2 linked regions of the Coturnix japonica genome follow. The protein of the gene in region 1 purifies or fractionates together with the protein of each later gene. This does not show direct contact. Links are inferred from orthologs where the notes say so. Each region holds a gene or a part of one and is shown on either strand. Other genes may lie near its edges.

Region 1 (14,734 bases):
GGCCTACGAGAAGATGCAGGAGAAGCGGGTAGGGCCGCACTGCCCCCGGGACGTGGGGCGGGTCGGAACCCCACGGCAATAACTGTGATCTTGTGTCTTCTTCCAGCAAATGGAGAGGATCCTGAAGAAGGCCTCGAAAACACACAAACAGAGAGTTGAGGTGAGTGGAAGTACCATCAGCTGGGCAGCGCTGTGGGGAGGGCTGCGCGATGGTGAATGCTCCAATTCTGAGCGCTCTGTTCCTTTGCTGCCCCTCAGGATTTCAACAGGCACCTGGACACTCTGACGGAGCACTACGACATCCCCAAAGTCAGCTGGACCAAGTGAACGGGCGGCGTTTCGGGGCCTCGGGTCAGGAGTTGTGCTCACACCAAACAGGGCTGCCGTGTAAACCTCCGTATTCATGATACTGAATATTTCATATGTCTTCGGAACATTTATCACCTTGTACTGCCGTATTTCAGTTTCAAAATACTCAACAAAACCTCTTCTTTGGCTGTTGACTTATGGGGTGTTTTTCAGTGCTCAAAGCTGAACCCAATTGCTGTGAGACAACAGGAGAATGTTCCTTTATTTGTCCTATGCCAGCAGCTCTTAGAAGAAGCAGTCTGTGGCAGCATTACATTGTATGAGCTGCTCTTATCAGTGGCAGAACTGTGTAATTCCTATATAAAATCTCTGAGTTGGGGCAGTGGTGTCTGCTGTATTCTACAATCCTTATGTCTTTACTGTAACTTATTAAAAAGCTCCTTTTATCCATTATTTCGGTGCTCCTTTCCCTGCAGTGAGGGTGGTGTGCTGCATGCAGTCTGTATGGCTGCATTTACAGCTCTCACAGGTGATGTGAATCACATCCCAGACCCTCACACACTAATTCAACCCAAGCGTTTTCCCTCTGGTACCGCTGACCCGTCCCGGGGCTCCTCAGCCTTCCTAACTGCGGACTTCAGCCGGCCGCGCACTACTTAACGTCAGCAATCGGTGCCTTAAGTGCTGTTCCGCTGCCGGCGGATCACTGCGCGTATCCCTCCGCGCGGCCGGACCTTGTGCAGCCGCTTCCTACCGGAAGTGGCGGGCGGAAGCGGAAGTCGCTGTGACTGTGATCGGGCGCGGCGGGCGCGGCGGCCCCGGGCGGCGCGATGTCGGCCAGCGCCGTGTACGTGCTGGACCTGAAGGGAAAGGTGAGGCCGCGCTGCGGCTGTGGGCGCCCTTCACCCCGAGCTGCCGAGAGCGTCGGGCCCGTCCTGGGCTCGGCGGGGCCCGGCACCGTGGGGCTCTCTCGGCCTCGCTGCCCTGCGGCCGCCGCTTCCCCTTCCCGCTCGCTGTTTGCCCCGAGCTGTGGGGCGGTCCCGCCTTGTCCGAGTCGGGGAGCGGCCCTGCCTGCACAGCCCCGAGCATCACAACTGCGGTCAGTAATATCAGCCCTAATGGGAGGAGGCTTGTCCCAGGAGAGCGGTGTGTTTTTCCATCTCAAAAGTTATTATTATTAGGGTGTGCGTAGCTGTGTGAGGAATAACACTAGGAGATACGACTGCGTAGCTTGGGGATTTGCGTTCAAATTGCAACATATAATGGCACTTTGGTTTGCGTTTGTAGTATGTATAGACCATTGATTAAAGCTTGATATGTGGGTTTTTCAGTTAAGAGGTATTTTAACTATCCCCTGTGCTGGTCTGGCATGGTAACGTCATCTCTCAAAGGAAAAGTGTAAGGAATTGTTCTTTCCGTAGGTTCTCATCTGTCGAAATTACCGTGGGGATGTGGACATGTCAGAAGTGGAGCATTTTATGCCAATCCTTATGGAAAAGGAAGAAGAGGGAACGCTTTCTCCTATTCTAGCACATGGAGGAGTTCGTTTCATGTGGATTAAACATAACAACCTCTATCGTATCCTTTGTGCTGCAGGCAACCTACGTGTGAATCATTGAATGAATCATAGAATGACTTGGGTTGAAGGTACCTCAAAGATCTTTCAGTTCCAACCCTGCTGCCTCAGCCATGGCTGCCACAAACTAAATCAGGCACCAGATCAGGCTGCCCCTTTTACAATGCTTTTAAAAGCACACTCAGTAAAATGCTTTTCATCACACCATGACTTTGAATGCGTGTTCCTGAACATCCTTTATTAGTTGTTGCAACTTCTAAGAAGAATGCTTGTGTATCACTGGTGTTTTCATTTTTATATAAAGTAGTTCAGGTGAGTAGGAAGTTTTGGATTTATTTCCCATCTATTTTTCAGTGTGATCTAATAAAAATGCATAGAGCTTTCACTTTTTTTTTTAAATAGAATCTATACTATTTTTCCTTTATATTTGATTATTTGATAGAAATGTCTTCCTAACCACTAAGAATGGAATTGATATCTTATAACTGAGTAGGCAAAGGATGTGACACAATGCTGTGAGTAGTTGCACATGACCCGAGAACACAGAGGAAAACACTGATGTATGAATAGTGCCATATATAGGTGCTGTGTTGGGTTAATTTGGAACTGGCATCACAACTGTTTTTCCCAGCATAAATATTTTTTGTAATGATCAGACTTATTTCTTGGTCTCTTTAACCCCCTTTTAATTGAGGTGAGTTTCCTGCTGCTAATCTGGACAGAATGTTTTTAGGAATTATGAGTTTTGTTTTGGTGATTTATTTATTTTTTCCTTTTTTTCTTCCAAACTCTTGTTAGTTATAGGAATACATTCAGAATATGCTGTAGTTCCTCAGCTCATGTCCTTCTTTTTTTCCTTCCCTCTCGTTCTTTTTTTTGTTGTTTCAGGTTTTTTCTGAATATTTCAAGGAGTTGGAAGAAGAGAGCATTAGAGATAATTTTGTTATTATTTATGAGTTGTTAGATGAGCTTATGGATTTTGGTTACCCACAAACCACTGATAGTAAAATTTTACAAGAGTAAGTATCAGTCTTTATTGCTCATATTTGTAAAGTCCTTGGGAAAGTCTTTGTATTTTGCATGCAAACAAATGTTTTGGGTTCCTCCTCTAGTTATCAAAATATTTAATACTTGATAAAGTATTATAATATCCAACTTATTTATTGATGATGTGTATCTGATATAAAAGACACTTCAGATTTTTCAGAGTATAATTTGTATTTTTTGTTCTAATTCTGTGCTTATAAAGGTACATCACTCAGGAAGGTCACAAACTTGAAACTGGAGCTCCACGTCCACCTGCCACTGTTACAAATGCTGTTTCATGGAGATCAGAAGGGATAAAATATAGGAAGAATGAAGTGTTCCTGGATGTTATAGAGTCTGTTAACCTTTTGGTGGGTACCTTTTACTTGAACTTTTAATGAGAATTATTAGTAGAAGTCTTGAGAAGAACTTACTGTCTGAAAACATATTATATATTATATATTAAAAAATCAGCCTAACCATGATTAGTGTGCTGGGATGCTGTCTGTCATTGAAACTGACAATCTGTAATGACAGCCAGAGATAAATAATCATTTACTGGAACTTGTGCTCTGTGCCCAGTAGTCCCAGAGTTGGTTTCCAATGTGTCCTTCCTTTCTCTTTCAGTCTATTCCCACTTTGTCCTTAGTCTGATTGTACTGTGTTGGATTGGTTGCTCGGAAGAAAAGCATCCACGGAGACCCGGGGCTTGAGGATGGGGTGGGATTGCTGTTTGATCTCATATCATATTGTGTTAGGGCAACCTTTATCTTTCTTTTCATTACCCTTCAGGTTAGTGCCAATGGAAATGTATTACGGAGTGAAATAGTTGGATCCATTAAAATGAGAGTCTTTCTCTCAGGAATGCCAGAGCTCCGCCTTGGTTTAAATGACAAAGTTCTCTTTGATAACACAGGCCGTGAGTATTTCAGCAATATCTTTTGAAATTGTGATGGGTGTTCTCTGCAAGATTTGGTGAGGTTCAAGTGAAAACATAGATTTTGTGATGAAAACACTTGTTTAATCAATGTAGAAAACCAGGTTAGGTCTTGTGTGGCAATACCAAGAGAAGATGGGATACCACAGTGAACATGGTAACCATCTGGGCTTCATTGCCTCTTCTGCTGGGACTTTTGGAGTCTTAGAAAAAATACTGGGCTAAACCCAGGTGTGAAGGATATCAGCAGGCATCTGCTTTGCTATATAATGCTCTGATGTGACTTCAGATGCAATGGGAGCAGTGATTTGAAATCTTGGCATGTGTGTTTTCTGATAGGTGGCAAAAGTAAATCAGTAGAACTGGAAGACGTGAAGTTCCATCAGTGTGTTCGTCTCTCTCGCTTTGAAAATGACAGGACGATTTCTTTCATCCCACCTGATGGAGAGTTTGAACTCATGTCCTATCGCCTCAATACCCACGTAAGTCTGGATGTTTGGGTCTGAACCATAGCAGTTTTTTATGAGAATAATCTAGCCTGTAGGTAGAATTGCTGATGACTTTCCCGTGATGTGTTTTGTTTTTTCTTTAAGTATGGGCAGCATAGTAGTTGTGAAGTCAACCATTAGTAGTAACGCTTTGTGCTTGCTGTTTTTGGAGGAAGTAAGAATGAGGTTAGGAATAACTTGGCAGTAAGTCTCTTATCTTTTCAACTTCTATTGAAACTATTTTCAAAGCATGAATTAGTTCATTTTTAAGCTAACAATGCTATAAAATTATTGTGGCAATTTATTGTGCTTGACAGTGTTAATTTGTTAGCTGAATATTTCTTGGAGTATGTTAACATACCATATTCCTGGCTCCTCAAGGTAGCAGCTGCTGTATAAGTTAACATTCTTTTTGAAAAGAAAATATTTAGCAAAGAGGAAATATTTAATTGTCAGCTGTGACAGGAGACCAGCAAAACAGTTACAGAAAACAAAACAAAAAGACCTGCACATACGTGGAGATGTGTTTGACAACTGAAGATGTTAGGAACTAATCTGAGAAATACTTCTTTCTTTTTTTTCCCCCCCTCGATGCCTGCCATTTTTTAGCCACATTTTGCTTGTATGTCAGTGCTTACTTACAGAATTAATGTATTCAGTGTAGATTTGTGAGGAAATTACAATTTTGTGCACATGCCAAAGTAAAATCTACAGTTGTAAAATATCTTTCCCATCAGGTAAAGCCACTGATCTGGATTGAGTCTGTGATTGAAAAACATTCCCACAGCCGCATCGAGTACATGATCAAGGTCAGAAGTACTAAAATTATTATGGCTGGTTTGTCTTTTGTTTGTTCTCAGTGCTTGACCAGCAGAGTGCATTCCTGCTTACACAAACACCTACTATTTCCCTGGGATTTGTGTCTTTTTAGTGAAGTTCATTTGTGTTAATGTTCTGTATTGTGCTGTTTCTCAGTAGATTGTGGTAGAGGGAAATTATCTCACAGCTCTCTGAATTTACATGTGTAGTGTATGTGCTTAGAGATGTGATTTTTTTAATTTTTTTTTCTCACTTTTCTTTAGGCAAAAAGTCAGTTTAAACGTAGATCGACTGCCAACAATGTGGAGATTCACATTCCAGTTCCAAATGATGCGGATTCGCCAAAGTTTAAAACCACTGTTGGAAGTGTCAAATGGGTTCCAGAGAACAGTGAAATTGTCTGGTCCATCAAGTCTTTTCCAGTAAGTGCTATTTTTAGTCTTCTCACCCAATAGTACAATAATTACTTAAAGTTAATGGTTTATGACTCAGCCTAAGGCAAATTCTAAAAGCATCAAATGCTCCATAGTGATAGTACAGCTACCGTGCTATGTGATGAAAATGGTCAGAAAGAAAGCCAAACTTCTAATGTTCTCGTTGAGGATAAGACCAGAGGAAGATGAATTATGCCTCAAACTGGTCTTAAGTTGATCTATATTTAAAAGCAACAAAACAAACAAAAACCAAACACCACTATTTTTAAATAAAAACAAGTACTTCCTTCTTAGCCCTAGAAAAGAATCTGAAGTAATAAATGCAGTTCATCAATTTGATATTCTGCATAGAAAATCACTTGTATTGTTGGAAGCTTTTCTTGTTTCAAGAAAAAAAAAAATTGTTCTTTTTTTGTAAGGGTGGAAAAGAATATCTGATGAGGGCTCACTTTGGACTTCCAAGTGTTGAAGCTGAAGACAAGGAAGGGAAACCTCCCATTAGTGTCAAATTTGAGATTCCATATTTCACCACTTCAGGAATCCAGGTTGGTAGTTGAAAACAGAAATACAGAAGGAGGCTGTGTGCTAGGCTCCTGACACACAAGCTGATGCAGCCCAGCTTTGTAGCTTTGTCTGCCTTGTTCCTTGGTTTGGTGTAATTTTTGCTGTGTAATTGTTCCATGGTTTGGTGTCATTTTGCTGTTGTTTTTGTCCTGCTTTTCCTGGCTGTCACTGTCTCATTCACAAACATCTTCCTGCCCTTCACTTTGAAGTACCAAAAGTGTTTCTTTATTACTGAGGCAAGTCTGATTTTTTTGTTTGTTTGTTTGTTTTATTTTATTTTTTATTTTTCCCGGCTTTAAGGGAATCTTGTAAAGAGAATGATAGGACTGGCTGCATTATTTCATATGGAAAGCACACTGTTAATGCAAGTGACGACAGTTTATGTTTACATCTAAAGTTTTGCACATCTGGATAATTTCTGTTATTATTATCCATAGAATATACCATATATATCCATATATCTATCTATATCTATCTATCAATACCATATATATCCATATATCTATCATCAGCGATGATCTATATCCATAGATCATCGCTGCCCACCCAATCATCCCTGATTTCATTTTATTTTTTGCTAAACAATGCTTGGCTGACACGGGAGATTCATATTTAACTTTTCTTTCTTCCCAGGTTCGATACTTAAAGATAATTGAGAAGAGTGGCTATCAGGCTCTCCCATGGGTTCGTTACATTACCCAGAATGGAGGTAAATTGAAAGCAATGAACTATAAACATAATCTCTGTCTTAATGTATTTTAATTCTCCAGCATACACCAACAAATTGAAGATATGAGCAAACTGTTCTTGTGTTTCAGTATTAAACACTGCAGTATATGTACATGACATTAATGCTTGCTGATTTTTCTAGTCTTTTTTTTTCTTACTCAACTATCTTATTGAAATGCTCATTTAGACAGCACTGTTGTTCACTGAATGTGACTTTCATTATGAAATACTTAAATCTGGGGAGAAATATGAATTAAAAGAGAACTGATTCGTACATATCATTTTGCTGGCTTTGGGCTGGCTGAGATACTGTCTGCTAAGAACCACCAAGTCTGCTAAAGGAAAAGAAAAAACAAACCAATTCTGCTGCTTTTCATTATTACTTGTTTTGCTATTCAGACTGCTTTTGCTGTTCCTGGCTTGGAAGCTTGTAATTATCTTAATTGCTTTAAAGCCCATGTTCTTGGTTATTCTACATCAAGATCTGATCATTTCTGATCATTTCATCCCAGTTTGCTCTTGTGTGTTACTGAGATTAGTGAAAGGCAGTGTACTAAAACTGGTTTTATTTTTGTTATTCCTTTACAGACTACCAGCTTCGAACACAGTAAGACACCTTGCAGGCACCACAGATGACAACACTTCAGGCCTAGGATTTGTTTGCAGAAGCTTCTGTGGTACTGAGAGCTGTGAATGTTGTTGCCAAGGGTCTTGTCTCTGCAAACTTGGATTGGGCGAGAGAAAGATGGGAAATTTACCATTTTCAATAATGTGTTTGAGCATTTGAACCATTAGTATTGATTGTGTGAATATTTATTTCATTCTTAGAACATGCTGATCTTGCTGCTAAAAGCTAATTACATTAGTAGTAGCCGTTACCTTGAGGAGCCAGGAATACAGAATGAACCTTGAGAATGTCTTGTCAATGCCTTGTCCATTGTATTCACAGTTTTTAGTGTTTGTATTTTAGGATCTTTAAAGACTTTACCTGACAAAACAGGGAGACAATTGTGCAATTACCTGACTGCTTAACAGTGAGTTGTATTTAGCCCAAGGTATTTATTATTGTTGTTCCGGGCATATGGGTGCCTTAACTCATTCAGAGCTCTGTTAACTTAAGACATTTTACAAAATCTGAGCTGAAATTATCAGGAGTCCAAAAATACACTTTGCTCTTCTTTACATGGTGTCAAACCAATTCATCTGACAGAACAAGCTGTGGGCTTGTGTATAAATAAGTAGGTGTGTTGGAGGCCAAGGTGTCTGAGAACAAAAGATTGTGGGAAGTGTCTGTGAGAACATCTCTGGGGAAGCATGATGATTGCTAGTTCACGTGAGCTGAGGTGCACACTGAAGAGTTTCAACCCTGTTATACTCCTTGGGTGTGAAAACCCTACGCCAATTAACTAGCATGTGCTTTTTCTTTATTTCTATTTGTAATACAAATATAAAACTATAAAGTGTAAGTCTTTAATTTAAAAAAAAAAAAAAAAAGACTGATTTTGGCAGCCATAAATCTGGTGGGAAGGCTTTATAATTTTCTTTATTATTATTACCCTTCCTGGATAAGTGATATAATCCTGCCTATTCTTGACAGTTGATTGTTGTTTACAGAGAAGCTGATGGAAATATCATTTCTGTTTTTCAGGCTTGCTGCCTTCTTCATTTAGGGCAAATCTCTTTTTTTTTGCTGTAACTTGCTAGAATTGCTTAACTTTATTTGCCCTGAAGAGGTTGCTGTCGTAGTCTCCTCCATTTGTAAGCAATTATTCTTAGAACTCTCTGGCAGAATGGACAACAGGTGAGGATGTTATATGTAAAGGTATTATTTTTTTTTACATGCTGTTTCATTTTTCTGAGAAGCTGAGGTTCATTTGGATGTACATACTTTGATTTCAGAAAAAGAAGTTAACAGCTATCAGTATTTTCTTTGAACAGGTTTTGGAATGGTTTGGTTTCTATTTAGTACTCGAGGCAGATGCTAAATTTAAGCCATTCAAAGCTAAAGATGTGGTGCATATACTGTGTGCAAGGTTCTCCACACTACCTTCTTGACGGTTCTTGACTCTCTCACAAGGTTGAAAAGATATTGTCCCCACTGAATCCTTGTAGACTGTCTATCTACCTTTGTATACAATGTGTATGATTAGTAAAATGAATAAATCATCTGAGTTCCACTGAAAGGCAGCTGCTGTAGTGCTACAGAAAGATCAGCCTCAGAAGTGACTGATGGCTGCAGGCCCTGTGCAGCAGCAAGGCAATGAGCTGGCTGGGCTGCGCTCGGCGTGGATGTGTATTTTCTGGGGTGGGATGACTGTCACCCCAACAAGCTGGATGTCGAAACAAATCATCTTGTTCGAAGTTTTGGTTCCACTGCTCATTTTCATTTGAACCATTGAGCTTATGACTGGATTAAACATTTTATATTAAAACTGTAACTGGTTGACAAATCACTTTTCCTGGTGGCTCCATTCTTCACAATGTTTATTCTGATTATTTGCCTGTAAAATGTGACTCTCAAAAGCTCCATTTGTTTTCCTGTTGAAGGATGTATCTTGCAGCCCAGTGTTTTTCTTATATTTTGCAGCAGTTTGAGTTGGCTTTGATGGTGAGGTATCGGCCCTATTGGTCCGGGAACTAATAAAGGACAAGAAAACTTAATTGCACATCACTCCCTCTTTTTTTTTCCCACTTTGATCTACAGTAATATGCAGCCTCTAATCCTGGTGTGCCTTCAGTTAGTCCAACACGAGGCCTGGGTAAGTGGAACTGAGCTTCACAGAAGTTCCTGATTTGTTTTTTAAATACAGAGAAATTTTGCTGTGCTTTCACTCTCTGCAGAATTGTGCACCATAGAAACAGTGTTCATGAACAGCTAATACTGTAGAAAGGGGGGAGGGGAACAAAGAAAACAATAAAAAATGAAAACCAACTTCGTTATTAAGATGTGGGGTCCCAGCATGCATAGAAAGGCAGAAATAGAGGCATGAATTCTTGTTCAAGGAGTAACTTCTAATTGGTAAAGTAGTTTCGTTCTTAGAGCAGCTGCTAACTTTGTTATCGTGGTGGCTTCTGCTCTCTACCTGATGTGGGGAAAATGTAAATTTGATGGTCTGCCAACGTTACACACAACTGCCTGATATAGAATGCTCTGTGAAGGCGATTTGCATGATTCTGCTTACACGGTGAGATATCGCCTCGGTGTCCTCAGCTCGGGGTGATTTTGTCACTGTCTAACCTGGAAGGTTGAACTCCTTAAGGGGCTCTGAAAACAAATCTGTTCGTAGTACAAAGCCACCAGTGTGGAGATGTTCTTTGCAGTCTGGGTTTTGCAGTGCACTGTGAAGTAGGTTGTTTTTTGTCAGTAAGATGAAGTGTGTTTTCCCTACTCTATCCTTAGCACGGGACAGCTCAGAGTGCTTCAAGGGTTATGAAGCCTTTTCCTCCTGCAAGGCATACAAAGCTGCAACTTCATCTGCCTGCTATTTAATTGATAAACAGTTATTTAGCAGCGCATCGAGGTCTGTCAGCAGCACTTCCCCACTGGACTCGGTAGGTGTCTCACTTCTGCAGCAGTCTGTATGTGTATCCACTGTCTCAGAAGAGGATCCAGCAGCCCGCTGTGGTTCGGTGGTTTGTTTCTAAACGCCGGTGCTGCCAGTAGGTGGCATTCTGAGCACACAGCGTGTTCTGAGCCATCGCTTTCCAGTAATGATCAGAAACAGACGCAGTGAAACGGTGTGTGCTGATGTATGCTTTGAGTCGGAAGGTATAACTATATTAAAGAAACAAACCCACACTGCAGCATGGTGGGGTTGTTTTGGGTGGTTTTTTGTGTTTGTTTTGTTTTCTGAATTTCAGCAACTTCAGTTTGTCTGTTTTCACATTGTCATTTCTTTCTGTTGCTCCCACGTGCCCAATGCTACCACCCAGCGCCGAGGGCAGCAGCACGATGGGTGCTGCAGAAGAGCTGCTTGGTGCTGTGTGCCACTGTTGGACTGCAGCACTGCTGCAGAGGAGCTCAGTGGTCTGAGGTTCCACCTCTGTGTGCTCACAGCTTCAGGAATCAGCAGCTGCTCCGTGAGCCCCTCTGTAAAGTGCAAAGCAGCATCTTCTATTCACTTGATTCCCCCCACACCCAGAGAAAACAGAGTTCTGTTGTAGTGAAAGAAGCCGCAGCCTATCTATCTCCCTGACAAACAGAATAGCACTGCTAGAAAAGCTTTATTCCCCCTCAGTATTTTAGGTGGGGTTCTGTCGCTGTTTCTCTCCTGCATGTTTCTACCCCTCCTTCCTTGCTGCTACCCCTTTTTGCCTCTGCTGTTCCTTTCATGTACTTCCTGCCCCTGATCTGCGCTGACCTTGTCAATAAAACCTTCTGACAAAGAGATAATGGGGCTTTACCCATGGTGGGTTTGCTCAGGCTGAGGGATTGCACCTGCTTATTTCTGACTTCAGAGTCCGTGATGAGAAATGGGCTAAACCTTGGCACCTCTGTCTCTCCCACATGCCAAATGCAGTGTGTTGCAATCCATTTGCTGTTGTTTTCTCTGTGGTTGACACCCACCGCTGTTTGTCATTGCAGCAGCTGTGGCATGACGAGGGGTGATGGCCTCAGTGCTGAGGGACAGCAAGGGCGATCTTAATTGCAGCGGTAATTAATTATACAGCAGCTTTGTTTGCGCTACGGAATGGATGGTTGTAACACTTCTTCCAATGAATTCTGTGTAATGCAGAGTGTTACACAGGTCATGCACAGATGAACCCGTTTCTCCTGTAGCTGGGGTGTGTTGCCATGACTCGGTTGTGGAAGCAGAGTCTGCGTCAACCAAACTACCTGTACCTGGGAGGCTCCCTGCTGCAGTCACCTCACTGTTATCAGTCTGAAGGGTAAAGTCTTTGTGCACCAATGTGTTTCTGCTCTCCCTGGGTCTGTGTGTGGCTGTGGGCCTCTCCCCCAAGGGCAGCCTTTGGGTTGCATTGTCCTGCGTTCCCTGTACCCAGCTCATAAACAGAACAACGGGCTGATGGGTTCTTAAAAGACAGGCCTTGTACCACAGTGTGCCTTCTCCCCCCTCCACCTTTGTGGGTGCTGGTAGGCCAGCTGGACCCAAAGCCTTTGTTGATGTGCTCAGTGCCTCCAGGCCCATTGCTTGCCCTAGCAGTTGGTAACGTTGAACTGATGCCTTTCAGTGTCCAAAATATTGTGGACAGGGATGGCAGAAGTCTGCACAGCCCATCGCAGCTCAAACAGCTGAGCAGCAGCACGAGGAGCACAGCTCCCAAAGCAGAGTGCTGGGCTGCAGCCTGTTCTGCAGAACGTTGTGCAAGCTTACTTCAGATCTTGGCTGTGGATTTGTACCTTGGATCAAAGTTTTCTTGCAGGCTCTTCTCCAATATAAAGCAAGGAAACGTAAAACAACAAATATCTGGTGAAATCCAAACACAATCTGCTCTATGTTATGCTACAAAAATGAATGAACTCTGCCTCCCACCCTCTCCCACTGTGACTTGCTGTGAATAAGCGCTGCTCGAAGGAAACCATGGTGAGGGTTCTGCCTCCTTCCAGCAGGAACAGCTGAGAAAGGCTCAGCAATGCTCCTCCAGGTGGGACTGCGGGTTACTGGGGCAGGGGCAGCACAGAGCTAAGCCCAGATACTCAATTATAAGGTTTTAAAAGTAATTAGCTGTAAGACTTTTTAATTCTATCCTTTGTAAGGACACACTGTCCTTTATAAAGACAGAAGATATATTCTATGCACCTCATGTGTATTCAGCTCTCCTTCATATGACACTTTCTCAAGTTGTGCCCATTAAGGTGGGTGTTGCACCATGGATTGCGAAGGACAGACAAATATTTGGGCAGACCAGGCTGAATTTATCAGTTAGGAGCCAGTTAGGGATAACAAATCTTAAAGCCATTGAGTTACAGGTCTGTGTACCCATCCAAGCTGCTTAGACTGGAAGGAAAACTGTGGAGCAGCTCCTCGTGCTTTTTAATCCTAAAACATTAAGAGTCTAAAATGGAAGAGGAGTACATTTAGAACTGATAGAACAAGAGAAATCAGTGTAAAACTGCTCATTCTCACAGTGTTGGTTTGGGAAGGGACACAGTGAAGCACTGCGCTGGGGCAGCAGTGAAGTCCTCTGCTGACAGAGCTGCGCCTTCCAGCCCCCAACCAACCCCAACCACCAGCAAGTGCACGGCCGCAGGACCTGTGTTTATTTTCCTTCTTGCTTATTTATTGAAATAAAAGCACAAGGCAGAGTGCTCTACAATTGTTAAAGTTTCCGAGAGGTCACAAGGGTCCCAGATAACATTAGCAGCTCGATGCGATGTTGTCCTTTTGTGTTATCAACAGGAAACATCTTTACCAGCACAGGAACTACAGCTTTGTAATTGGCCTGGTGCGAGAACATGACAGCGTTTTCTCATCCTATCAGGACTCGGATATTTTGGGAGCTGGTATATAAGGCGCACAGCACACAGTGTCTCTTGGACATTAGGAACAGGTTCATGTGAGAAATCAGTGTGCTTTGCTATTTTAGTAGTTGCTATAGTTGCAGCATAAATGATTTTTTTTTTCTGGCCCAGCACGGTTCAGGGCAAATCTTCTTTATAGTTTGTATGTATATTTTTATTATTTGAGCACAGATGGATGTATTTAAAGTAATTAACATAGTGATACAGGTCTAGTAAAGAAGCCTTTAGCAAATAAAAAGCAAAGCCCTATATCGTATAAATGGAGGCCTTGGTGAGCTTTTGTTAAATGCTCACAGACTTCTATGGTGTGGGACTGAGCTCCATCCAAGCCCATTTCAGATTCCTCCAGATGATAAAAGTGCTCTGGTTGGTCTCTGTAATAAGAAGCACTCATTGCGCCGAGCGATCTGTGTTGAAAGGAATGGCCCTTGTGGCAAAGAGTCCCATAACTCTCCGATGAGTGCGAGATCAGAGTCAGCAGCACTTAATGGAGCTGTGAAGAGCTGAGCGGGAAGGTGGCCAATAGCCCAATTAATATTCTATAAAGAATTACAGCACTCCGATGACAGCAAACCTCATTTGGACCACGTGACAAAGCTGCAGTGTTTTTTCCATAGCTGCCATCACTGTTTGGATCCAAAGTAACCGTAACCACTGAAAAGGAGGAACAACAGTAAACCCAGCAGCTGTAGCCCAAGGTGCGTCCTGGGAAGCGTATAATGGAAGAGTCTGATAAAGAAGAGCCTCTTTGTAATTCTCCAGCTTCATCTTCAACTAAAGTGAAACGGGTCAGATTTTGCCAGAAATTTCCTTCAGTATCTCTCAAGTTTAGAAATGTTGTTATTTCTATACAGCAAAAGCTTTGGTAGGGGTGGGTGAAGGAATCACTTTGTTCTTGAAAAGACTGATGGAGTGCGAGGAAAGCAAGTTGACATTTTGCTTTCATTCTCCAGCACAAAACCCTCCGCTGCTTTCAGCTCTCTGCAGCTCTCAGTCTCACCACCTCCATGGGTACCAGCAGTGCCCCGTGCCATTCTCCTCCCATCAGAGGGAGCTGCAATGGCTCAAAACTTCTATCCCCAGACTTCTCTCTGTGTGTGATGTCAAAACCCAAAAATATTGAGGGCTGATGACAACAGGAGTTATTTCTGCAGGTCTGACACACTGCAGGGACGGATGGATTGTGGGCTCTCTTTTCCTGTCTTGCTCATTCCTGCATCATGCTGGCAGAGATGGTGGGAAGGAGGGAATGTTTTGGTCCTTTCTGAAGTAACTGAGCTCTGCTGTGATGAAGCAACTCTCTTTTTTCCAAGCACTGCTTTGTGATGGTATGGCCAGAGGAACTGTGATTAATAATGTGATTTTTCT
Region 2 (15,781 bases), on another chromosome or scaffold:
GCCCACTGCAGCCCACTAACCTTCTGGTGGGTGTCCTGCAGCGCCCACCACCACAGCGGGCTCCTCCAGCACACCAGGGTCAGGTTCTCAGCAGCGAAGGCCAGAGCCCAGAAGAGGAGGAGGACGGTGCCGTGGCCTCGTGTGCGGTCATTTGCCAGCACCCGCGTGTGCTCCAGCTGCAGGAGGGCGACGGCGCAGCCCCAGGCAGCAGCCCAGAGGCAGGTATACAGCACCATGTACCCATAGAGCCTCCCTGGGCCCCCCAGCTGCCAGAGCAGCCCACCGAGGGGCAGCAGAGCCAGCAGCAAGGACAGCAGGACCTGGGCACGGTAAAGATGCGAGCGAGGGATGTACTTGGGCTCCATGGCACGGCCAAAGCGGACGTAGCAGGCGTACTGCAGGGCACCCAGCAGCAGGCAGACACTCAACAGCACGGCCGGCACCAGCGTGAAGAAGAAACAGGGCTGGAAGCCCTGCTGCACCCAGGCCTGTGCCATGGAGCTGTTGGGCTCGCAGTATCCCTCCAGCAACGCCATCCTGGCCGGTCTGTGGCTAGAGAGAAGAAGATGGGGTCTCAGGGTGCTGCAAGGCTGCAACTGTAGGGCAGGATGGCACGGCCAGGCAGGGGGCAGTGGTGGGGGTGAACCCATGTGGGACACACTCTGTGTGCAGCAGAGCATGAGCAGCGGTTGGGGTCAGCTCTGTGGCCTGGCACTGCACTTGGTGGCTTGAAGGGGGAGAAAGGTTGGGGGGAGAGTCACCCCGTGCACTTGGACGTCGGGTCAGTGAGCGCTCAGCGCTGCCACCGTTGCAGGGATACAGAGGCACCGCTCCGGGCAGGGGGATGCTCCCGAGCGCTCTGCGGGTGGGGAACGCGGCGGGGAACGCAGGGGTGACACGTGGGGAACGGCAGAGCACTGCGTGGGGAAAAACAAGGGGCAACGCGTGGAGAAAACGCAGGATAAAGCACGGGACAACGCACGAGGAAATACACCGAGTAACGCCGGCAACGCGCAGGGACACGCCGGGCCGGCACCGGCGCCGTGGGAGCCGCGCAGGGGCCGCTTCCCGAGCGCATCGCGGCTCCGACCGCTCCGCCGTTCCCGTTCCCGTTCCCGTTCCCGTTCCCATGCCCGCCGTCCCGCCGCCCCCCGAGCCCCTGTCCCGCTCACCTGCCCCGCTCCGCTCCGCTCCCCGTGCCTCCCGCAGGCCGTAGCACCGCCCCGCTCCGCTCCCCGCCCCGCTCCCCGCCCCGCAGCACGGCCTTCCTTCCTTCCCCCCGTCCCCCGGCTCCACGGATCGCGTCCCACCCCGCCCCCGAAGCGCTCCCAGGTGGGGTGTCGCCGTGGGGGACCGGAGCCGGCGCTGCTTATCGCGACGAGCAGCCCGGTTGTGCGGCACGGCGATAGCCCGGCGCGCTGTTAGAGGTCGGGCAGGACGGAGCGCTGCCGGTATTTATAGCTCCCTCTGGCCGCCGGCCCGACGGGCGCTCAGCTGCTGCTCCTTCACCGCACGGATCCGAGTCCCTTCGAGGCCCCCTCGCTGCTGCGGCACGGCGGCTCTGCCCCCCCCCCCGCGTGGTCCCAGTAAATTGAGCCCTAAATCCGGCCGGTTTGGCTCCTCACCGCCTTACAATCACGCTCCGCGGGCACCGGGGTGCCCGGCACCATCGCTGCCCCCCCACGCCGCTGTGACACTCATAGGCAGACAGATGACACAGCCCATCTTTATTGGATGGCAAGACAGCTGTACAGTGAGGGCGCGGGGCTGCAGCACCACCCCCCCTGGGCGCCCCGGGCCCACCGACCCAGGAAGGAGATGTAGAATTGCGGCTCGCCATGCACAGGGGACACCGACGACACAAGCACAACATGCAGCGAGGACTCCTGCCCTGCCTGTCCTTCCCATTAGCCCAGCAAAAGGGCTCTCCTTCCCTCCAGAGCACAGCCTCTGAAACCCCCTCACTGTGTATTGCAGGCTCCAAGCACTGCCCACTGTGCCTAGAGGGAGCCCAGGCAGCACAAAGGACATCACCATCGCTTACGGTTCCCATGGAGGCAGGGAAATAAAGGGTGTTAGAACGGCTGCAGTTACAACCAGCAGGGCAGCCCACGGATGTGAGGTGCAGAGCCAGCCCTGCTTGCCATCCCCTCCCTCCTGTCCCTGCTGCTGCACCAGGCACAAAGGGCACGGGGCAATAGCCTGGCAGGGAGAGAAAGGTCACCTGTGCTCCAGGAAGGGGAAGGGCAGGGCATAGAAAAAGCAAGGAGTCTCTCCTGCAGGCAACAAGAGCCAGGGAGGTGGAATAAAGCCGGGCAAGGGCAGCTGAGATGTAGGTCCTCGCAAGCAGCCACTGCAAGAGATGAGGGAAAACAGCACGATCCGAGCGAAGGGCTGGCCAAGGCCGTGCTGTAAAGCCAAGATCCTGATTCACACCCTTCCATCACATCAAGGTTGGGCTGTGGTTTGCCTCTCACTTCAGGGTTCAAGGTACCCCTTCTTCCCTGCCCCCTCCATGACATGACATGAGGCAGCTGCTCAGCTTATGGTCTCCACAGCAATCCTCGCAAAAAGATTTCAGGAAGGAAGGAAAGGAGCCAGGAGCCCCTGGGTGAGAGGCAGGACACACTGAAGCCATTGTTAGGGCAGGAGGAAAGGGCTGATATCACAGAACAGGCCTGACGCATCACAGACCGGGCATAGGAAAAAGGCCTTTATGATGCCTGGGGGAAGGGAATCAGCGCACAGAGCACAAGACCTTCACTGTGGGCTGCGAGCAGGCTACGTGCACTCCCAGGGGACATCAGGCTGCACCAGCTCTTTGGCACTGCGAGAGGGCCTGGGAGCAGCCCATCAACCGAGCACCATGCAGGTCAGGAAGTGCTATTCTAGCCCAGGACAGAGGGCTGGCACAGGGGGCTGCCAGTGGGGAGGGACAGAGACCCAGGACTGCCACTCCACGGACCCCTCTCCTGTATGCCTGGGACAGGGCAGGTGTCACGAGAGCTGGGGATGGAGCTGCAGCAGAGCTATTCCCAACCCTACACACACAGCAGCAGCTGAGGATCATCCTGCTGCAGGGTGTCAGGGCAGCACACATGTGCACAGAGAGGGGTGGGCCCCACCGCTGTCCCGTTCCAGACTGAGGTGTGCAACATTGATCCTCTCCACGAGGTGGAACATGGCGCAGGGCACTTCCCCAGGGCTGCAGGTGTGGTTCCAGCACTGCTACAGACTGAGCAAGGCAGCTCCGACAGCTCCCACTGCTGCCAGCCATCCCTGCTTTCATTTCGAAGGCAGGTCCCAGCTCCGGGCGGACATCTGGAGCTGCTGCCTTGTCACATCCCTTCAAACAGCAGCTGCCATTGCCACCTCCAAGCCCATCCACAGCTCTGTCAGCGGCTCTGCAGTGATCCTCCGACACGGACGACACAGATGTGAACACAGACACATGTATGTACTCACACACGCATTCACCCCACAAGAGTCAGAGTGACGTTGGCTTGACACACGGCTGGACACAAGGCGCCACCGCAAAGCTGCTGGCCTGGCAGTTTTGTCTCATCAGCAATCGATGGCAACAAAATGGAGCCCATGACCATCCTATCCCCTCGGGATAGGAGAGGAATTGGGCTGACACCACATCCTGCTGCCCAGGTGGCTTCCAGTCTGCAACCCCCACGAGATCCCCGGTCTGCAAGGCTATACCTGCAAGACAGAGACAGGACTTCAGCATTTAAGGGCTGCTGGCAGCTGGTCTGCAGCCTGACATCCAGAGCACCTGCTGCCCCTGTCTGCCACAGCCTCCTCCCTTACCTTGTGGATCTGCGGTGGAAGCTCATCCTCTGAGCTCTCCTCTGGCACAGGCTCTGGGTGTCTCGCTGACTGCCCATCCTCAGCCCAGCCTCCCAGTGGGAGGCGGGAGAAGTGTGATGGGGCTCTGTGCACTGTGCCTGGGTCTGTAGGAAAGGCAAGGAGGATCAGCTACCTGGGGGGCTGTCAGTCTTCAGAGACAAGCATGTTGCTTGTGCCAGTATTACAGGACAAGGGTTACGGGACTGTGACCAGAAGGTTCAGACCTCTGCTCCGGCTCCCATACCTGTGATGCCGCCATACCGTCGCTGGAAGCCCGTCTGCAACGTGGCTGTCTCCTCAGCAGGCTGCCGAGATGAGAAGGGGTAACTGGCAGAGCGAGGGAGGGGGACGGGGGCACCTCGCTGAGCATCCAGCTCCTCATGGGTGCTCTCACCACTCTCGTCACTCTCTCGCCGGTGCCAGGTGTGCCGCTCGGGCTCCATCTGGGCATGCTGCTTGTGCAACTGCACAGCCAAGATACAGGTGGGTCAGCTACAGATGCCCCAATGCACCCTCTCCCCAGCAAGGCTCTTCCAGCCAATCCAAGCCACCCAAAGCAGGGCACTCCAGTCCTGCCTGCCCTGGGCCCACATCCCCTCTGGTTAGCTCAACTCACCTCATGCATGTAGAGTGCGTGGAGACTCATCTCAGTGGAGGCATACTCTGACAGGATCATGCTCTGCAGCTGACCCTCCCAGGCACTGCTCCCCGAGCTCACAGTCCTCGCATCAGCACTGCCATGGGAAACAAGAGTGATGTTTATGTGGCTGCAGATACCACCAAGCCTCTCTCTGCTCTAGGGTCAGGCAGTGAAGGCCACCGCATGCTCTTACCCAGAGGCTGTCATGGCACTGGAACCACGAGGCTGGGTTCCCTCTCCATCCCTTCCTGTTGTCTGAAAGCCACCAGAGGGCTGCTGGGCAGACTGGAGTGGGGAGAAGGAACGCAGGGCTGAAGCCACTTCGGAGAGATGACGAGAGGCCTGTCCATCACGGCCCATGTGGAATCCCAGCACTGAGGAGCCTGCTATCACATTGGCAATCAGGCTGTGAGGCTGCAGAGACAAAAGAGAAAGAGAATCACTGCCTGCACAGACTTGGAGACAAAACCCCCACCACTGAGACAAAACTGAAGGATCCCAGCTCTCTTTAGTCCCTTTCCCACTTCACAGGGCACAGGAAACCCAGCTGCCCTTCCTTAAAGAGCCAGAATTAGTCCCAGTGAGTGCTGATCCATCATATTGCACCCCTGGACACAGCCCAGATAAGGACAAAGTCTGTCCCGAAGGCCTGATTATCACACTTTGCCAGCACTCCAGGACCTTCCCACATTCCCCACCATCTTGGGCACCTCTGACTCGGACTGCAGGGACTGGATGGAGCTGAAGAGGGCGTTTTCGGGGAGCACAGCCTGCTGGGCCAGTGCCACACTGCTGTCCCGGTGCACCCGTTCCTTCAGGAAGCCGATGAAAGCTGTGCTCTCACGGGGTGGCTGCCACTTGGGGTTGGTGATGGCAAAGTGCATGAGGGACAGCTCCGTCTTGCCATCCTCAGCCTGCTGGTAAATGGAGGCCTCCGTCTTCCCCGCTGACATCCACTGTGAAGCACAAAGAGAGAGACTGAAGACTGGGATCTGCTTTACACCCGTGCTAAGCCCAGGAATCCTGAACGCCAGCTAGACTGGACAAAGCACACAACCTGCATGATGGACCATAGCTCCAAGCAGTTGACACACACTACACCAAAAGCCCCATAGCCAGCTCAGCCTTTGCAGCCTACCTTCCTTCTCCATCCCTAAATATGCATTGCTGGAAGGGAACTAGAGAGGTGAAGGCCAGTCACAGAGGTGAAAGCTTTGTTTTGTGCTGTCCAACCCAAAGCAGGAGCAACTATAGCCAACAAATGGCTGTTTTTGCAAGTTGTCTGCCACAGTGCATCCATCCCCTACTGGTTTCATGGCCCTGTCACTAGAAACTCTTTCCTGATTAGTAACATAAATTTCCAGGCACAAGAAACAGACTCATTTTCTTTCTCTCCAGAGCAGACTTTGTAAAAGGGAATATGTACCTCATCCCCAACCAGTAGGCTGCCTCTCTCCTGGATTAAAGCAGCCCAGCTTTTACAATCAGTTATTATAAGTCAGACTTCCTAGATATCCAAACACCCCCATTCATGCCTCCTGAGAGAGTCCTGGTATGAAAACAACCCCCTCAGGACCTACCGCAGGGTGGCCATGCTGGCGCACATCCATCTGGGCAAAGGAGCAGGTGTCACCCACCCCCACCACCTCCACCGTGAAGTTGCGGAAAAAGTCAACGATGTCCAAGGATTTGGGCCGCAGGCAGATGATGAGGATCAGGGGGGTAATGATGGGACTCAGAAGCTCCTCCAGGATGAAGACCTGAGGATAAAGATGAGTTCAGCATATGGGTGAGGATGTCATGAAACTTGCCAGCCCCAAAGCCAACCCCCAGCTCCAGGCTGCCTTCTGCAGCACGGTGACTGGGAAAACCACCTTGTTCCTCTGCCTATGCAGAGATGGGAGAGGGTGTCCATCCCACCCCCCTGCAAGCCAGGCTCACCGCTTTATACTGGAAGAGCTGGGCAAACTCGTCCCTCGTCTCATAGCGGTGGGCATTGCCCTGCCAGTGGTCAGGCATGTAGTGGATGTGTGCCAGGATGACTCGCAGCAGCTGCTCAGGGCAAAACACCAGGTGCTGGTCGGGGATGAAAGACCTGAGGGGTAAGATAGGGAAACGTCATAGTATTCCTAGAAGATTTCAACCAGGGATGACGGGAGACTGACACATATTACAGCTTCACCTGTGGCCTTCACTCCAACCCAAACCCTCCTGCCAGCCCAGCACAGGGATGTTGTTGTATGGCTCCAGCAACTTCCATCATATCAACACTGAAGCCGTCATCATAGCCACTGTGCCCAAGTTCAGCACTGGCCCCCTCTCCTGCCTGCCCTGCCCTGACTCGCCCCAGCCGTGCCCTTCACTCACACAGATTCACGTCCACTTGTAACCTAAGAATGCACTCAAATGAAGAATATCAACCTCACTGCTCCCCTACCATACTGCAAGCAGCATCCAGCCCTGTCCAGCATGGATCCTCCTTACCTGCACACTGTGATGCCCACCCCAAGAAGGGTGACTGTGGTCAGGACGTGTTCAACCGCCAGCACGTCCTCATCATAGATGGTGAGAGCGATGAGCACTGCCAGGATGGAGCCAGCAAAGAAGGCCACGTTCTTGGCCACAATAGTGAGGAGTGGGGAGATGAAGCAGTTCATATACTTGGAAGCTGGCTTGTAACCTTTGCTGAGACGTGACTGCAGTTCATGGTCTAGCTCGTTGAAGTGACGGAGGTAACAGCGGCCATACAGAGACCAGCAGCGGGCACCCAGGCTGCCCGGTTCCCTCTTCAGGATCTCTGTGTAGCTGAAGAAGGCGTAGAGGATTTGCCAGATGAGGATGAGAGGACAGAGGAGGAAGTTGGCGATGCCAATCCAAAGGATGCGAGTGCTGAGCTTCTCAGCCAGCTCCAGACGGTTCCCAGCCCGCTTGTATTCAGCCTTCAGGCTCCACTCATTCTCAAAGAGTGAGCCAGGCCCCCAGAAGAAGATGAGCTCAAAGTTATACTTAAGCCCTCGCGTGTAGAAGACAGTGTCTCCCAGCAGGGGCAGGCGGAAGCGGATGGGCAGCAGTGACTTGTTCACCATGGCCACCATGTAGTTCTTGAAGCGGAGGATGCGGTGGTAGATATCCAGCTCTGTCAGCTCCTTCTTGTGGATACAGATCTGGTGCTCTTTCTGGATCTGCACGATGCGGGCCTGTACCTCCTGCCAGGTGTAGTAGGGCAGGTTGGACTGGAAGGGAAAGCAGTGAGGTTAGGGGCAGGCTCCAGGGATGGAGGCTGGGCTGAGCCCGTTCCAACAGCAGGACCAATACACACCTCGGGGTGTGTACGAGCCACAAGCAACACCACAGCAACAGGCATCTCTTCCTGCACTGCTTCAGCCTGAGTCATCCCAGCAAGCCTCAAACCATGCCCTAGTGCCCTTTACCCCTCGAATAGCATAGGTGGCTGTTTCCCAGCCACTCACACGCCAGTGCATTAGACACAAATGCAGGTGCAGCCTGGCATGGGTCCTCCCTCCCAGAGCTCACAGTCCTGCTCTTTGGAGTCAGCAGGGAGGCAGGAATAGGGGATGGGAACATAACCAAAGCCCCAAAGGCAGCCTGTGGGAAAGCTGGGGATAAACCAAACCTCTTGGCTCATCCCATCTCTCTCAAGACACAGCCTCTAGTCCAAATACACACAAACACCCTTTGGTGCTGTCCATCAGAGCAAGGACTCAGGACTAGGATGCATGCACAAGCCTCAGAGCCCAGCTTTGCCACACTCATCAACGGTGTGATCTTCAACAACTATACAGCTCCACGCCTCATCTTTCCAATCTGTAAACAAGGAAGTCGATACTGTCTGCTTCCCAGGGAAGTCCAAGAATACCCTCACTTATGCCTTCTATGTTGAAAATTGTCACAAAAAAGGCCACCACAGAAGACTAAACATATGGAGCAGCAGATGGCAGATGCGTGTGCCAGCACAGAGAGAGGCAGGCTGGGCAGGGTGGGTAACAAGCAGCAAGTTGGCTGCTGGAGAAGGAGCTGAAAGGAAAACCATGCAGGGAAAAGCTGAAGCAGAGGACTGAGCATTCAGTGCAAGTCTCTTGGAGAAGCTGGCTCCAGAGGAATGAAGGTGAGCTGCTTCTCACTGCACAGCAAATGCCTCCCATATCCTGTACCACATGTAGCCCTTGTCCCACCTACTTACCATGGGGATCCTGAGGGCGTTGATGTAGAAAGAGTGAATCTCCCAATAGCAGCAAATGTTGTAGATAAATTTGACAAGCCTGTGGATCCAGAAAACTCCAGCGATCACCAGGATGCAGATGAGGAAGCTGTTCGCCTGGATTCTGCAAGAAAGAAGGTGGCAGAAGTAGTGGGAGATGATCCCTGGGCAAGAGTTACCAGCCCCTGAGAGAGCACCAGCAGTGCCTTGGCTGCCCCTACCTCGCACTGCAGACATTTGGAGGCAGGAAAGCATCTGGTAGAGTCACTTTAATAGGCTCGCTGGGATGCTGGCTGTGATTTACCGCTTTGTTGGCAAAAAGAATATCGTAATCAACGCAGCTAATGAGAAAGGTGGTAAAGGCCACCACGAAGATGAACTGCCTGCGAAGAAAGAGAGAAATAATGAGGGGAGCAGCCTTCTGCCTCCTGCTAATGGGAAGCAGGCATGAGCACAGGGGCACACGGGGGTTGAAGATGCAGCCAGGCAGCAGGAAGATCAAGGGCACCAGTTACACAGGATGAACCACAGGACTGGGTTGACAGGAGGATCGTAACAGGAACCCTCTCAACTGCAGGAGCTTGGCAGCCTCCCATAGCTGCTCCCCGGCCACTGTTGCAGCCCCAACACGAGGGCAGCCCTCACTCACATGAGCTCGAAGATCTCCCCGATGAGCATGCAGGTGAAGCCATTCTTCTGATGCAAGTTATACACGTGAAGGCGACAGTCAAGGAGAACAGCGTGACCTCACTGCAGCCTTTCAATACCTGAAGGGAACTTACTCCCAGGAGGGGAGTAAACTCTTGGATAGGGCTGATAATAGCAGGACTAGGGGAAACGGTTTTAAGTTAAAAGAGGGAAGATTTAGGTTGGATGTTAGGGGGAAGTTCTTCACTAGGAGAGAGGTTAGGAACTGGAACAGGCTGCCCAGGGAGGTTGTGGATGCCCCGTCCTTGGAGGTGTTCAAGACCAGGTTGGACGGGGCCATGGGCAACCTGATCTAGTAAAGGTGTATGTTTGGTGGCCCTGCCAGGCAGGGGGGTTGGAACTACATGATCCTTGAGGTCCCTTCCAACCCGGGTCATTCTGTGATTGTGTAACAGTTGTGGGACTGCTTCACTCTGACACAGCACAGCACGGCCGCCGTCCCATTGCCCCCTCAGTGCCAGCCCCCCGTGTCCCCCATCCCCACACAGGTGTCAGGATATCCGAGAGAAGAACAGGTCCAGGTTCTCGATGTGGTGCCACGGAGCTGCGGGGAGGAGAGGCAGCGTCACCACCATAGCCCCACACACAGCCCATATCCCACAGCCCGGGCCGCAGCCCGTCCCGCCGCCCCGTCCCGCTCCCCGTGCTCACACTTCGCTCCCTCCGGGACGTGCACGAGCAGGTCTCCGCCGCCGGGCGGTGACTCTGTGGACGAGCTCTCCAGCCGCTGGTACTGCGTCTCCAGCTGGGCCATGGCCGGGACCCGCCGCCACAGCCGGACCGAGCCCCGGGCCCGGCCCCGCCCCCACAGCGCGACTGGCAGCCGCGCCGCCCAATGGAGATCGAGGGGCGGGTCCGCGCCGGGCCAATCGGAGAGCGGGAGGGAGGGTAGGTGGGATGAGCCTCGCGGCGACCCGTAGGGAGAGCGCCGTGAATGCGGCCTGCACTTCCGGTGCAGCCCGGCGGCCATGGCGGCTCCGGGGTGTGCTGGGAACTGAGCGGGGCCATGGCGGCCACACAGAGCACGTCGGTGTTCCAGGCCGCGCTGGACCCCGCCCTCCTGCACGGGCTGACCCTCGTCAGCGGGTTCAATGCCAGTCCGTCGGCTGCGGACACACACGGTGCGTTGTGCTCTGTGTGAGGGGCAGGCCTCGCCCTATGGCCCGAGGGTCCCCTGGGCTCCCTCTGTTGCCTTGTTGTGCCTGTGTGGGGCTCCTCTGCTGCCCTGTGTGGCTGCACAGTCCCGTCCTCTCCTTCTCCTTGCAGGGCAGCCCGCAGCCCCCCACGCAGCGGACAAGGCCGGCACAGCCCCCGAGGTGCCGGAGCGGATGTGCTGCTTCACCTGCGGGCAGCAGTTCGGCAGCCGGGAGGAGCAGGTGAGCGGGATGTTATGGCTGCTGGGCGATATACAGGGACTCCATGATACACAGTGATTGCCTGCCCGGGATCACTGCAGCCACAGGGTTGTTATGGCTGCTGGACTCTGTCACCGTGGGGCCTTTGGTAGCTGTGGCTTCTGTCAAGCACCAGCACCTTGCTTGGCTCACTCTTCCCTTCACAGACTGAGCACTACCGACTTGACTGGCACCGCTTCAACCTGAAGCAGCGACTCCGAGGCCGCCGGGCGCTGCCAGTGGAAGAATTTGAGGAGAAGAGCAGAGCAGGTGAGGAATGGGGCTGCTTCAGCAGGGCCCAGACTAATGGTGACTTTGCTGTTCTGTCTGGGAGTGAAGCCTCCAGGTGCCTGTACATGTTCACAGTCTTTTTCATCTGTCTGATCCATCAGGGCTGTGGGCTGGTCCCCGGAACCACCTGCAAACTTTCTATTTATCTTTGTCTTCCTCCATTGCTCCATTTTCTCTTTGCTGCAGGTGATATTTCCAGCATCTCAGGGTCAGATTCAGAGAGCTCCGATGCAAGCAGCGAGTCAGAATCACCTCCCCCTGCCAGCAACAGCCCTGCCACCCCCCAGCATCCCCGCTCCCACAAGGTGCTGCTCCGCAATGCAAGGGGACAGCTCATCTCTGCCTATCGCTGCATACTGAGCACTGGGAAGGCAAGTCACAGACCAGCTTGTAGAAGAATGGGCCCCAGAGAAGAGGGGTGGCACTGTGGTACAGACATCTGCCTGGAAGTCCCTGGGGCCCCTTGAAGGGAAGGGAGAAGTCTGGTGCCTCAGGTTCGCTGCAGCTGAGATGCCCCCAGCAGCATGACTAGGACTGTGCATGTGCCAGCAGAGGGAATGGCCTTTGTCTTGGGGACAGCGAGGAGTAATGGGATGATCCCATAGATGTGAGCAGGAGTGTTTGTGTCTCAGGGCGGCAGCGAGGAGCCAGCAGAGCTGATAGCGTCACTGCAGAGCCTCAATGCAAACACATGCTGGGTTGTACTGATGATGGGTGGCGGGCACTTTGCAGGAGCCGTGTTCCGTGGGTGAGTACAAAGGCACAAGGCTGAGGTTGTCTCTGTGGGCAGGGACAAGTGTGGCCAGCTGTTGGATGGGCCCTTCCCTTCTCTGTAGCCCCCAGGTGCAGGAACACAAGACCTTCCACCGCTACACTGTGCGAGCCCGGAGGGGCACAGCCCAGAGCCTAAGGGATGCCCAGACCCCAGGGTCAGCACCCAGATCAGCAGGAGCCTCCCTGCGGCGTTACAATGAAGCTGCACTGCTCAAGGTGAGAATGGACCACAGGCTTGAGCTTTCAGTAGGGAAATGTGGTTGGCAACCAGCTCTGTGCAATGGTGCCGTGCTGCTGTTGGAGTTCATATGTGGACTATGAGCTCCAGAACTGGGTCAGGATCCAATTGAGGCTGCCATTTCTTGAATCTGCCTGTTCCAGAGCTGCTGGTGCCCACTCAGGACTCCATAGAGCCTTCCTTTCTTCTCCAGGATATTCAGAACCTCTTGGCAACTTGGGCGCAGCACCTGAAGGAAGCTCAGCGCATCTTTCTCCGAGCCCCTCGTCACAACCGGGCGCTGCTCTTTGATAGCAAGAACCCCCACCTCAGTAGGGGAGACCCCCGTGTCTGCCACATCCCTCTCAGCACACGCAGGGCCACCCTGAAGGAGGTGCTGCGAGTCCATGCTGTGCTGTCCAGCCTGCAGGTGTTTGGTGAGTTGGCCTGGCCCTGGTGCCCCAACACCTGCGGTCAGTGCAGGTGAGGTTGTACGGTCCCTCATGGGACCCTGGAGTGCTGGGCACATCTAGTGGTTCTCCTGCTCTCCATCCCTTTGGGGCATGAGGTGCACCCCATCTCTGGGCAATGACACCCTTGCTGTCTAGGGAAGGACACGCCACTGGAGGACATCACTGGGTCCCCACGGAAAGTCTGGCAGAAGAAACAGCGGGCGGCTGAGATGGATTCCCTGCAGATGGACACAGGTGGTGAATTCAAACATGGAGGGAGACATGGCTCAGAGCAAGGTGGGGAGGTGGTCTGTTTTTTTTAATGAGATTTTCAGCCCTGTAACAGGGCAAGACACCACAGAGGGGAATCTGCTGAAAAAGGCTTCCTGCTGGGTGGAAGGGGAAGGTGTGCTTATCTGAAAGCCCCAGATAATTCATGCTGCATATGGGGTTGTCCTGTCCTTTCACTCTCATCAGCCCCAGGGGAGGAAGAGGAAGAAGAGGAGGAAGAGAGTCCAGCAGGGGAACTGGAAACTGTGGAAGTAACAATAGGGACCTTGGACCTCCGGGAGTTTGAAGTGGTGCCCAAGAGAAACCGCAAAAGGCGGAAGAAAAGGAATAAAAAGATGGAGAATGGTGAGGGGGAAGGCACGGGGGAAGGGTCTGCCATGCCTCAGGGGCTGGCTGGGCTTCCTTACCATTCGCTCTCACAGCAGGGCTCCATGCTGAAGGGACAGGATGCTGTGGAACCCAGGGAGGGCAGCCCAGCCTGGAGCTGGTTACAGAGCTGCAGGGGAAGCCTGGAGCTGAGCCCCTTCCCTGGGAGACTGAAGGTGAGTGGAGTTGGGAGCCTGGCTAGGTGAGCACCTGCCCTGTATGCTGCATACTTTGCAGTGGGGTGAAGAGCAAGTTGTTGTGCAGGTACTTGGAGCAGTTGAGTGCCAGGGTGGCTGTAAAGTAGCCACATGCCTTCAGACATGCAGTGCTCACAGAACAGTAACCAAACCATAGTGTTTCCACCTGAATAGATGAGATTAGAGAGCAGCAGAGATCTCTGTTACAACGGTACCACAATAATATTGGGGTGGCAAAATCTTTGGCTGCAGCAAATGAGAATGAGCCCAAATGCAGCAACCATGGATACAGAAATGAAAGAAAAGAGCTGCTTACCTTTGGAAGGCCTCAGATACGCAGGGATCTCCAGCAAGAGATGCCCTCACCTCCACTGCCAGCCCTTAAATGAGGTCTGGGAAGGGGTGGATCCTGGCTCCCTTCCTGTCACTCAATGCATTGCATGCACCTGAGCTCCTCTGGGTTGGCCCTGCCTTCCTACCAGGTGTTCAATCACTGCTTCAGGCCATGACTTAGCATTTCTGCTACATACTCATATGCAGCTAGCAGGACAATGCTTTAACAGCAACGTGTTGGTTTCCTGGACTAAATGGCCCTGTAGCATCAGATTTCTCCTCCTGTTCTTCTCTCACAGGAGACCCCCAGACCCAGCTCCGTGATGCCCTGTTCACAGCCTGCAAGATGGGGGATGTGGGGACACTGAGGCACCTCCTGGGTGTACCAGAGAACAGGGGCCCAGTGGGGGACAGCAAGGATGGGGATGATGAACAACCCCTGGGTCTGCCCCACTCCCTGCTCAACCAGCCTGTAGATGAATGTGGCTTTACCCTGCTTCATGTGGCTGCACGTGCAGGGAGGGCTGAAGCTGTGTGCCTGCTGCTGGAAGCAGGGGCTGACCCTGCACTCAGGTATGGCCACAAGGCATCATACAGTTGATGGCCACTGCTGTGGGAGTCCAGCAACTCTCTCCTGTTGCAGTTACGTGAGGCTGATGCCAGCCTTGTCCTGGGGGACAAGCTGGGGTTGGTCAGGACTGCTGGTTTTATCTCTATGTTTGGGGTGAGATTTACCTTTAGAAATGCAAGGAGAGGATTTGGGGAATCATGGTGTGGGGGTATTCAACCTTACCCTCCTTGGCTCCAATACCCTAGATTGTTCTATATCACAGCCCAATGAGAAACCAGCAGTAATACCATAGGGCTGAGCTGCTGTTTCTCATCTTGCAGAGACAGGCAGGAGAAGACCCCTTACTGCATCTCTGCTGACAAACCAACACGCAATGCCTTCCGCAAATTCATGGTGGACCACCCAGACAAGTACGACTACAGTCGTGCCAAGGTGGGCACCTGCCCCTGAGCAAAATGGCCTTCAGCCACACCCCAGCATCCTGCTCTCACCTCCTCGTGCCTTTGCCTCTTTCTCTGAGGGAGATGCTGACTGACTGCCCCCTGCCTACGCTGCCCCAGGTACCTGGCCCCCTGACTACGGAGATGGAAGCCAAAAAGATGGAGAAAAAGCGGGCACAGAAAGCCCAGCGGAAGCAACGGGAACAGGCACAGCGGGAGGAACAGCAGCGCTTGGAGCAGGAGAAGGAAGAGAAGCAGCAGTTTGCAGCCCTGTCTGATAGGGAAAAGGTAAGGCCTCGCACAGGGGAGAGGAACCAACCTGATGCAGTGGGCTCTGGCTCAGCAAGCCTTGGGGGCTGACCTATCTCTCTGCTCCCCAGAGGGCCCTAGCTGCTGAGCGGAGGCTGTCTGAACAGATGAAGAATGGCAGTACAGCTCTTTCCAACATCAGGTAGGCAGCTTGTAGGCAGCCAGCTCTGCACATGATGGTCCAGGATAAGCTTAACAACCACAGATGGTTAACCTGTGACACTATGATTCTATTATATGAATGTGTCCATTCAAGGCCACTTCTGCTCTTTCCCTGCAGCCGCTGCTGGTACTGTGGAGAGTCCCTGCTGGGCCGGATCCCATTCCATTACCTTGATTTCTCTTTCTGCTCCACGGCCTGCCTGCAAACCCACCGCCGGGCCCGGGCCAACCACACATAAGGGTGGGGGCTGCCATCATGGCAGCCAGGGACCCACATGGTGGAGACATGGCTGAGCACTGGCTGTAGAGTAATGCTGGTAAGAGGGACTGAGCTGGTCACATCACTCTCTGCAGCAGTTTTCACAAGACTGAGAAGCTGCAGCATGAGTGTGACTCAAGGTAGTAACAAGCAAGGCCTGCACATGTTAGTGCAAAAGACCAGGACTGGTTCCAGCTAGGAAGTCCTACTGCCTGCTTTTCTGCTGGGTACCTTGCAGGCTGCTGCTTGGGGTGGTAGTACAGATCCTGATTGGTACAAACTCTGCAGCCTTGAGCCCCTATG

What was found.
Region 2: the proteins of AP1M1 (region 1) and ATG9A purify together in Homo sapiens (affinity purification with western blotting, with the first as the bait; 3 studies listed by BioGRID). This does not show direct contact. The link is inferred for Coturnix japonica from reciprocal best matches to the Homo sapiens genes AP1M1 and ATG9A.

The regions. Positions count from the first base shown.
Region 1 is NC_029543.1:3,458,049-3,472,782, reverse strand, and holds AP1M1 (AP-1 complex subunit mu-1), read left to right. Parts: upstream 1-1,075; 5' UTR 1,076-1,139; coding exon 1,140-1,181; intron 1,182-1,730; coding exon 1,731-1,887; intron 1,888-2,129; coding exon 2,130-2,197; intron 2,198-2,773; coding exon 2,774-2,904; intron 2,905-3,134; coding exon 3,135-3,282; intron 3,283-3,703; coding exon 3,704-3,830; intron 3,831-4,187; coding exon 4,188-4,330; intron 4,331-5,073; coding exon 5,074-5,145; intron 5,146-5,418; coding exon 5,419-5,577; intron 5,578-6,008; coding exon 6,009-6,134; intron 6,135-6,786; coding exon 6,787-6,862; intron 6,863-7,470; coding exon 7,471-7,493; 3' UTR 7,494-9,543; downstream 9,544-14,734. Other genes in the region: protein FAM32A, read left to right, coding at 1-28, 107-160, 259-327. UniProt on the Homo sapiens protein: Subunit of clathrin-associated adaptor protein complex 1 that plays a role in protein sorting in the trans-Golgi network (TGN) and endosomes.
Region 2 is NC_029522.1:24,495,509-24,511,289, forward strand, and holds ATG9A (autophagy-related protein 9A), read right to left. Parts: upstream 10,244-15,781; 5' UTR 10,177-10,243; coding exon 10,074-10,176; intron 9,967-10,073; coding exon 9,923-9,966; intron 9,429-9,922; coding exon 9,364-9,428; intron 9,098-9,363; coding exon 8,936-9,097; intron 8,839-8,935; coding exon 8,697-8,838; intron 7,729-8,696; coding exon 6,980-7,728; intron 6,591-6,979; coding exon 6,437-6,590; intron 6,256-6,436; coding exon 6,076-6,255; intron 5,452-6,075; coding exon 5,206-5,451; intron 4,910-5,205; coding exon 4,689-4,909; intron 4,590-4,688; coding exon 4,472-4,589; intron 4,320-4,471; coding exon 4,100-4,319; intron 3,960-4,099; coding exon 3,817-3,959; intron 3,709-3,816; coding exon 3,703-3,708; 3' UTR 1,711-3,702; downstream 1-1,710. Other genes in the region: ABCB6 (ATP-binding cassette sub-family B member 6, mitochondrial), read right to left, coding at 21-536; ANKZF1 (ankyrin repeat and zinc finger domain-containing protein 1), read left to right, coding at 10,357-10,543, 10,689-10,798, 10,984-11,086, 11,294-11,478, 11,740-11,855, 11,944-12,097, 12,313-12,535, 12,707-12,847 and 7 more. UniProt on the Homo sapiens protein: Phospholipid scramblase involved in autophagy by mediating autophagosomal membrane expansion. Cycles between the preautophagosomal structure/phagophore assembly site (PAS) and the cytoplasmic vesicle pool and supplies membrane for the growing autophagosome.